Linked DNA regions of Daphnia pulex. The protein of the gene in region 1 purifies or fractionates together with the protein of each later gene. This does not show direct contact. Links are inferred from orthologs where the notes say so. Each region holds a gene or a part of one and is shown in the gene's direction. Other genes may lie near its edges.

Evidence for each region.
Region 2: the proteins of segment polarity protein dishevelled homolog DVL-3-like (region 1) and protein prickle-like purify together in Drosophila melanogaster (affinity purification with western blotting, with the first as the bait; 3 studies listed by BioGRID). This does not show direct contact. The link is inferred for Daphnia pulex from reciprocal best matches to the Drosophila melanogaster genes dsh and pk.

What each region holds. Positions count from the first base shown.
Region 1 is NC_060018.1:12,878,361-12,882,872, reverse strand, and holds the start of segment polarity protein dishevelled homolog DVL-3-like, read left to right. Parts: upstream 1-1,599; 5' UTR 1,600-1,817; coding exon 1,818-1,978; intron 1,979-2,110; coding exon 2,111-2,180; intron 2,181-2,249; coding exon 2,250-2,338; intron 2,339-2,406; coding exon 2,407-2,486; intron 2,487-2,602; coding exon 2,603-2,671; intron 2,672-2,778; coding exon 2,779-2,925; intron 2,926-2,989; coding exon 2,990-3,227; intron 3,228-3,296; coding exon 3,297-3,425; intron 3,426-3,497; coding exon 3,498-3,625; coding exon of another isoform or gene 3,626-3,685; coding exon 3,686-3,775; intron 3,776-3,835; coding exon 3,836-4,141; intron 4,142-4,209; coding exon 4,210-4,467; intron 4,468-4,512.
Region 2 is NC_060020.1:6,112,023-6,115,863, reverse strand, and holds the end of protein prickle-like, read left to right. Parts: intron 1-51; coding exon 52-426; intron 427-703; coding exon 704-1,377; intron 1,378-1,463; coding exon 1,464-1,934; intron 1,935-2,016; coding exon 2,017-2,242; intron 2,243-2,312; coding exon 2,313-2,680; 3' UTR 2,681-3,184; downstream 3,185-3,841. UniProt on the Drosophila melanogaster protein: Acts in a planar cell polarity (PCP) complex; polarization along the apical/basal axis of epithelial cells. Correct expression of the alternative isoforms is required for PCP signaling in imaginal disks.

The sequences.
Region 1 (4,512 bases):
CAATGCTGGTGAGTGGTGGCAGACGAACTTCAGTGAGAACTGGCTACTAGTGATGTTTCGTTAACGATAACGGATAACGTGAAAAGTCCGTTAACGGACCTTTTTTGGGGTTCGTTAACTTAACGGATAACGCTAACGTTTGGCATTTTTCAGACGTTATTTTCAGACGTTATTTTTGTTTTTAACAGCGCTGCCAAATATGAAATTTTTGGATTTTTCAAAATGAAATTTGTATTTTTTGCGCGCTTCCAACATTTTACTGTAGTAGGTTGACTATGAAAACGAATTTAAATAGCCAATGACAGTGAGCAGTAGTCTTCTTAGCTTCTCTGAGGTTTTTTTTTGCTTTCAAAACGTGGCAAACGAAACTGTATAAGTAGAGTAGGGAAACAACTAGAATCAGAGTGTAAATCTTTAATGTCAGATTCAGACTCTGATGCTCCTGTTGACGGTGAATAAGCGTGGCATCTGCGATGTTAGAAGATCTCGAAAGAAGATTTAATTTCATGACAGATTAAAGAGATCCTGATTTCGACTGCTCCTACCTTCTAGCCACTTCCCTCGACTGCATTGAAACTGAACTTTTAGACAACTTCCACTTTGCAAGTCATGAATTTGATCCTTCTAAGGATCCACCAGTTCAAGATGTGATCTCTTACTGGAAGGATTTGTCTGGTCGTTTCCCCTAATTATCCAAAATGGCCTATAATTTACTGGTTATACCAGTTTCTTCGGCATCATCTGAACGCGAATTTTCCATTGCCGGATGGCACTGTCTAGGACACAAAAATAGGACGGCGGAAGAAGTTTTGGCCGCAAAAGTCTTCCTCACTTGCAATAAGGATTTATTGAGGCCTTTACTTTTTTAGTTGGAACTTGTTTTTTTTTCTTTTGTCTGTGCGTTTATTTAATCCGCAGTTTCTGTTTTTTTTAGTTGATCATTGCTTCATTGTGACATTGTTCAACGCCAGCAGCAATTTAAATATAAGTAATCAAGACCGTGACTGATTTCAGTGATTTGATAGTGCAATTTTTTTATTAAATAACGGTAAAAATAACGTCGAATTTTCGTTAACGGAGACATTTTTAACGGCGTTAATTAACGGCGTTAACGAACGTGAAAAAATGAGACATCGTTAACTTAACGGATAACGCTAACGTTTAGAAAAAGCACTAACGAAACATCACTACTGGCTACTAGCTTGCTGCCCTTTTGCCATGATACCACAACCTAAAAGCAATCGAAAATTTAAGGAATCTTTACAGCTTACATGATAACCAAAGCTAGAATACATATTAATTATTATTTTATGAATAAATATTAATATATATTATATTATATTACTATGGATACGATAGTAAGATCACCAATTCACCATGATTAATGATTATTGTATTATTAATATATCACGGCCGTTAGCGAGTTATTCAACGTTATATGCTATTTTATTTTTTTAAATGAAACAAAAATCACGAACAACAGCCCTTTTTGAAGATCCCCCCTTTTTGCCAGATTTGAATTTGAAGCAAGTAGTGTGCAGTGTGAGCAGTAGATGGCTACGCTGTGGATAGCGGGTCGGAAAAACCATCTGTCGGCTGACGTTAATATTTTTTGGGAAAACCGGGACGCCCAATTGGAGGCTCACAAGACTTTAAGCCTCGCCATATTGAACAGCCTGAGGGAAAGGGGAAAAGTCTGTATTCACTATTCAGTCCTCTTCATGTTGCGCAGATAGTAACTTTTGACGCCCTACCCGTTTTTGTAATCTTGTCAAAACGATTGGTTTGTTGTCGTTGACTCTTGACGCAGTTTCCTAATGGCGGAAACAAAGATTATTTACCACATTGACGAAGAAGAAACTCCCTATCTTGTTAAACTTACAATATCTCCCGATCAAGTTACCCTAGCCGATTTCAAGAATGTTCTCAATCGTCCAAATTACAAATTTTTCTTCAAATCAATGGACGACGATTTCGGGTAAAACCAGTTTTTCTCGTTTTTTTTTTGTTGTTGTCAAGTGGCAATAACGTGTTACATGATAATTGTCCATGTAGTTATTTTTTTATGCAAGTGTAAGCATTGTTTTCTCTTTATTGTTTATGTTTCTAGTGTTGTCAAGGAAGAAATTGTTGATGACGATGCTCACCTTCCATGTTTCAATGGAAGAGTCATATCATGGGTAAACGTAACAAGTTAAATTATATTGATGAATATTTTAAGATGTCTTAATGTTTCTTTCACTTTGTAGCTAGTATCAGCTGAAAGTAGCATTTCAGACTCTGTATCTCAATGTGCTGAGAGTACTGCCACTACTGATGGGAGACCACCGTCTTTCCAGTGAGTTTTTTCTTTACAAATTTTCACTGCTTGTAAAGTTTGGTAATTAACTCGTCATTTGATTTTAGCCCTGGCCATAACAGAAGTATGGCTGAGGAATACACAACAGCTACTGAGACAGAATCGGTCATTAGTTCAAGACACAGTGGTAAACTTTATTTCCTTATGCTGTATTTTTATGTTTATGTGTTTACCTTTGTCCTGTTGCATCTCATTTTTCGTTATCTTCTGCAATTCTTTTGTTCTTTATGTTTTGCCATGAAGAGAGGCACATATTGCCCCGCTCTGGCCGTGTGCATCGTGAAACTTATGAAAAATATGATCGCTTTGATGGTGAGTTTGTTAGCATGGCTTTTTTTGTAGATTGTTGCTTCACTAAATTTTCATGTAGAATGTCTTATCTTACTATATATTCGATTAACATCCGATTGTCTCTTTAGTTCAAGCTCCTCGAAATGGCCACAACGCTATGAGACACAGAGCTGGACACGAATATGAATCCTCTTCTATGATCAGCTCGGATTTAGAGTCGACCAGCTTCGTTGACTCTGAAGAAGATGCATCTTCACGTATCACAACGACCACGGGTATTAAGCAAAGTTATAATAACTCTGGATTTATTGAAAATTTTGCATATTTTGAAATTTGCAGATCACACTAGTGTGTCTCGCCAAGGTCGCAATCGGAGACGTAATCGTCGCCGTCCCCGCCTCCCTCCTCTTTCATCTCGAGCTTCATCATTCTCCAGTATCACGGATTCCACTATGTCACTCAACATAATCACTGTCACCCTCAACATGGACACAGTCAACTTTTTAGGAATTTCCATCGTCGGCCAGAGTCATCAAGGTGGTGATGGTGGAATTTACGTAGGATCCATAATGAAAGGGTATAAACACAGATGAACCTGACATATTTCTTGTGGTAATTTCAAATGAAAATCATTGCTATTATTTAGTGGGGCTGTCGCTTTGGATGGTCGAATCGAGCCTGGTGACATGATCCTTCAAGTCAATGATATTAACTTTGAAAATATGTCAAATGACGATGCCGTTCGCGTTTTACGAGAAGTTGTCCAGAAACCTGGGTAAGCATAACTGTTTTTTTTGTTTTCCAACTTAACATTTAGTACATTGTGTTTTTTATTTGCATGTGTCAGCCCAATCAAACTTGTAGTCGCCAAGTGTTGGGATCCTAATCCAAAAGGATATTTCACTATACCCCGTACGGAACCTGTTCGCCCTATTGATCCCGGTGCGTGGGTTGCTCACACGGAAGCAGCAAGAGGTGATTGTCGTATTTTAAATCATAAATTGGCATCCAACAACAAATCTAACGTCATATTAGGTGGAACGCAGTACCCGAATCGTCCGCCATCTGTGGCGACGATGTCGTCAACCACCACAACAATGATGTCGAGTATGCCAGAAACCGAACGTAAGTTGTCACGTAGAAAATGTACCGAAAGAACTTTTGACTAAGTACTACTTGTCACAGGTCCAGTTGAAGAAGCCCAACCGCTTTCAGTGCGCTCAGACATGCTCGCAATTGTGCGAGCGATGGCGCGCCCAGATTCCGGACTTGAAGTTAGAGATCGCCTTTGGTTAAAAATTGTAATTCCAAGTGCGTTTATTGGATCAGAAGTGGTCGACTGGCTTCACAATCGCGTGCAAGGACTAGAAGAGCGGCGTGATGCCCGCAAGTTGGCTTCCCAGCTTCTGCGAAACGGTTACATCAGACATACAGTAAACAAGTACACATTCTCTGAACAATGTTACTACGTGTTCGGAGACCTGTGTTTGGGTGAGTTGACATTTGAGACTTATCGGGTTATAGAATATTTTGTTTGATGAAAGGGTTTTATCTTGTAGGTGTTTCGGCTCTTCGCCTGACTGATGACACGACATCGGAAGCCGATAGAGACACGCTCGCACCGTTGCCGTTGCCGACTCCTTGGGGTAGTGGGCCTGGTGCTACAGGAGCCGGTGGGGCTACCCCTCACATACCTTATTATCCAACCGGTTATGCGCCCATGCCTTACAGCTACAGCAGTGATCCCCTCGGATCGGCGCCTGTACAAAGTACTACATTTACGTATGGAAGAGAAGGCAGCGTTCACAGTGGTTCAGGTAACCCTCCAAATTCGATTAATTGAATCCTTACAAACTGTATTG
Region 2 (3,841 bases), on another chromosome or scaffold:
TAAACATGAAAATAATTCATTTCTTTTTGGGGTAATAAATGGTTTTTGCAGGTCAAATGACGCACGAAGGCCAGCACTGGCATGCAACGGACGGCTGTTTCTGTTGCCACACGTGCCGGGCGTCATTGCTGGGCAGGCCGTTCTTGCCCCGTCGCGGACTCATCTTTTGTTCGATTGGGTGCAGCAAAGGAGAGCCACCAACGCCCAGCACCGACTCCAACGCCAACACGCCCACCCACAGCAACAGCAGCAGCACCAACAACAGCTTGATGCATCACCACCACCATCAGTCCGGCATCAGCGGACCGAGTCCGTCCCTGCTTCCGTCCATCGGCTCGCCTTCATCGTCCGCCTCCCGCAGTCCGAGACGAATCAGGTCTGGCAAGACCCAGCAGCACCAGCAGCAGAGATGGCGTGGCCGAAATGGTATTTCTTCTACCTAGCTCGACACTTTTTATGCTCATCATAATCTCTCGCCGGGCCATATAAATTTTGCATAATCTCGACTTATCGCCGAGCGAATCAATATTTCGTGAAATCACGTTCAGAGACTTTTTTTTGCTCTTTTTTAAATGCCCTTCTGGCGTCGCTGGCATGCCGGCCGATTTCAATATTTGATTTCCAGTGAGGACCGTGGCGAAACTGTTTTTTTTTTTCTTTTTCTTTTTCTTCTAACCGTTTTATTGTTGTAAAACGTTCACAGGTAATCAAGATGACGCCAACTCGGAGACGACTGAAGTCTCAGACTATTCCAGCAGTCAGCAGCAGCAGCAGCTCCAGCAAGCACTTTCGCCCGCATCTTCTGCCAGCCTCAACTTGGGTTTGCCTCCGGCTCCGCCTCGGAGCGTGACCAGCGCCGTCAGTGCCGGATCAGATTTGAACTCTCCGTCGCCCAACCAAGTCCGACGCTCAAAGAGGCAGCCCATGACGGATTTATCGAGCCTCGGCGGATCCAGCCTGAACACCACCGCCAGTCCCCTGTCATCGCCCATGTCCAGCGTCGGCATCGCTCATCGTGGGGTCGTCGACTACCGCCAGCACGTCGCCTCGCCCGAGCTGCCACCGCCGTCGGCTACCACCAGCAGCAGCAGCAGCAGCAACCCGCCGATCAACTTGCAGCAGTTCGCCTCGGCTGGCAACTCGCCCACTCACGTTTACAGATCTCCGCGAATGGGCCGAAAGAGCCTGCGCCCCTACCAAGCGCCACCACCGCAACAGCAACCAGCCCCTCCGCTCTACGAGAATCATCCGCCCTTGGAAACTCTTTCGCTCGACGATTCGCCGCGCTATCGATCCGAGCCGCTGATGTATTCGGGCCTCCCTGGCAGCCCCGAGCAACAACAGGTGGAGCCGAAATCGACCGAAATGCCCCGCCAGGTAACGATCAATTTATCAGCAACGCATGACGTCCCTCGCTAATGACTTTGGTTCTTTTTTTTCCTGTTTCTTCTTCTTCTCCGTAGGAGGTGCAGACGGAAAACGTGGCCGTGGCACCGCCAACCTCAAATGCTCAATCTACGCCCGAGTCGGCGACATCAACAACAACCGATCCGGCCGTTTTGAATTTGGAACAGCTTCTGAGCAAAGTGGCCGCCGGCGGAATGGCGCCTTTGCTGACCAAGCAGGTGCTCGACAAGTTGCTGGAAGCCGCCGCAGCGGCCAACTTGATCCAGCCGCAGCAGCAGCAACAACTGACAGGATTGCGTCGCAGTCCGGACGCCCATTCGTCTTCTCTTCCGGATTTTTCGACTCAAACGGAGCCGGACGGCAACCAGACCGGGTCCAACGATGACGAAGAAGAGGATACTCCGGCCGATGCCAGTTCGCCAGTAGGCGACGGTTGCACGCCTCGAAAATCAAATCTAATGACTGGGCGGAGTAAAAATGGCGGGGCGGATTCCCGACAGCTCAGCGTCAGATTCGATCCAAATCAAGTGAGACTAGTTATAATCATTATTTTGTGATCGTGTGGAAGGCCGCTAACGCGTTTCTCTCTTTCTTTTTTCGTGTCCCCAGGTACCGATGATCGAAGGAGCATCAGGTGGTGGCAGGAGCCCCGAAGGAGACACCAGCAGCAGCAGCAGTAGCGGTGGCTGCCGAAAAACCCACGATCATCACCATCATCACCCGTCTTCCTGCTCTTCATCATTTTCTTACAAGAGCGGCAGTCGCAGGAAACAGCAACAAGTTCAACAGCAAAATCCCAATGTTCCGCGCTCTCACTCTTACTCCGGACGCAGCTGTAAAATCATTTTTTATTGCTTTTGATCATCCTAAAAGACTGAAAACATTAACAACAAATTTTGATTTAGCTCTTGAAGAGGCGATGAATAGCGGCAGCGCTACCGGATTTGGAACCCGAGCTGAAGCTGGTCCCAGCAGTGGCCGACCGGTCAACAGACATCGCCCCATTAATGACATGGACATGGTGAGCGTCTGCTCCACCTGCTCGAGCTCGAGCAGCGACGAGGAGGAGGACTACTCATCTTACCGTCTACCGGCAGCGCGCCGAGCCGCCTACGGTGGCGTCCGGATCAGTTACGTGCCCAACGACGCCATGGCACTGGCTTCAGCCCGCCAGCGCTCTCAAACGCTTCAAACTTCGGCGACGGGACTGTCGTCGAGAGCGGCCTCCGGCGGAGGCGACAAGGAAAAGGACAAGAATTGCATCATATCTTAATTTGACACATATACACGCACACAACTCACTTCATTAAATTACATATACTCAGTGAAAGAAGGTCAATCAGTTCTGTTTGAAAGAAAAGGATATATGCATCACAAGTTTGTTTGCCTTATCATATAATACCGATAGAGATTAACTCTAAAAGAAGAAGAAGAAGAATCTGAGTGTGTTTTTCTTGACTGGAAAAATAGAAAATGGCGAGCACCCAAAATCAGAAAAGCGGAACGACAAATCCTGGCGATATATTCGGTTCATCGATGTCGTTAATACCTTTGGGTGTTGCTTACAGAATTTACGACCACGAGTTGCCACAGTTGTTTGTTTGAATGTGGTCGATTTCTCCAAATAACACACCAACAGTTGGTTCTCGTGCAATAATAGGATTTCTTATTTTATGCAAATGTTTAATAATTATTTATATATAAATATGTATATTGTCAATACATACAGTATATTAAATGAGCAAGATTGGCTACAGTAATACAATTTTTGACTTAACACCATCTGTTTTATTATCATTTATAAATATAGTATTAGACTCATTAATTCCTTTTTTAAAAAGTTAGAGCGTTGGGTGGGTTTGGAAAGGTAAAAAAGGTTCTTTTTCGATCTCTTCCTTTTCTTTTTCGTTTACTGACCCTACCTCTATCTATTACATTACTAAATTTGCAACGCCCACCAGAATGGCAGTAACTTTTGTCTCGTGATCAAGTGCGGAAGTGTTTATCTTTACGGCGCGTATTTGTTAGTGAGAACTTTTAATTGTGCGTCCTGCTGTGCCTGTAAATTCTGTGAAAAGTATTTTTATAAAGGCATTTGATTGTAAACCGAAGGCACTGATGCTATATTATCCGAACAAAGTGTGCAAAGGATGTATGTAGAAGGCGTTGCTGTCAGGATTCAACTTCACGAACATTTGGACCAGGATCGTCTTGTTGGTAAGTCGTGATTAATTTACTCACTGAATAGGCCCACGCTAGAATAATGCCAGTTGTTAGCTCCATTCCATATCCTCGCATTGGATAGCTAGTTCCGCTTCCGCCGCACTTTTTCAATGAGGGCGTCAAAACCAGCATTTGTAACCCCATCTTTTTCTGTCGCAGCAATACGTCGACGTATGCACCGATGTATTATGTAAATTGCCAATTTTGAATT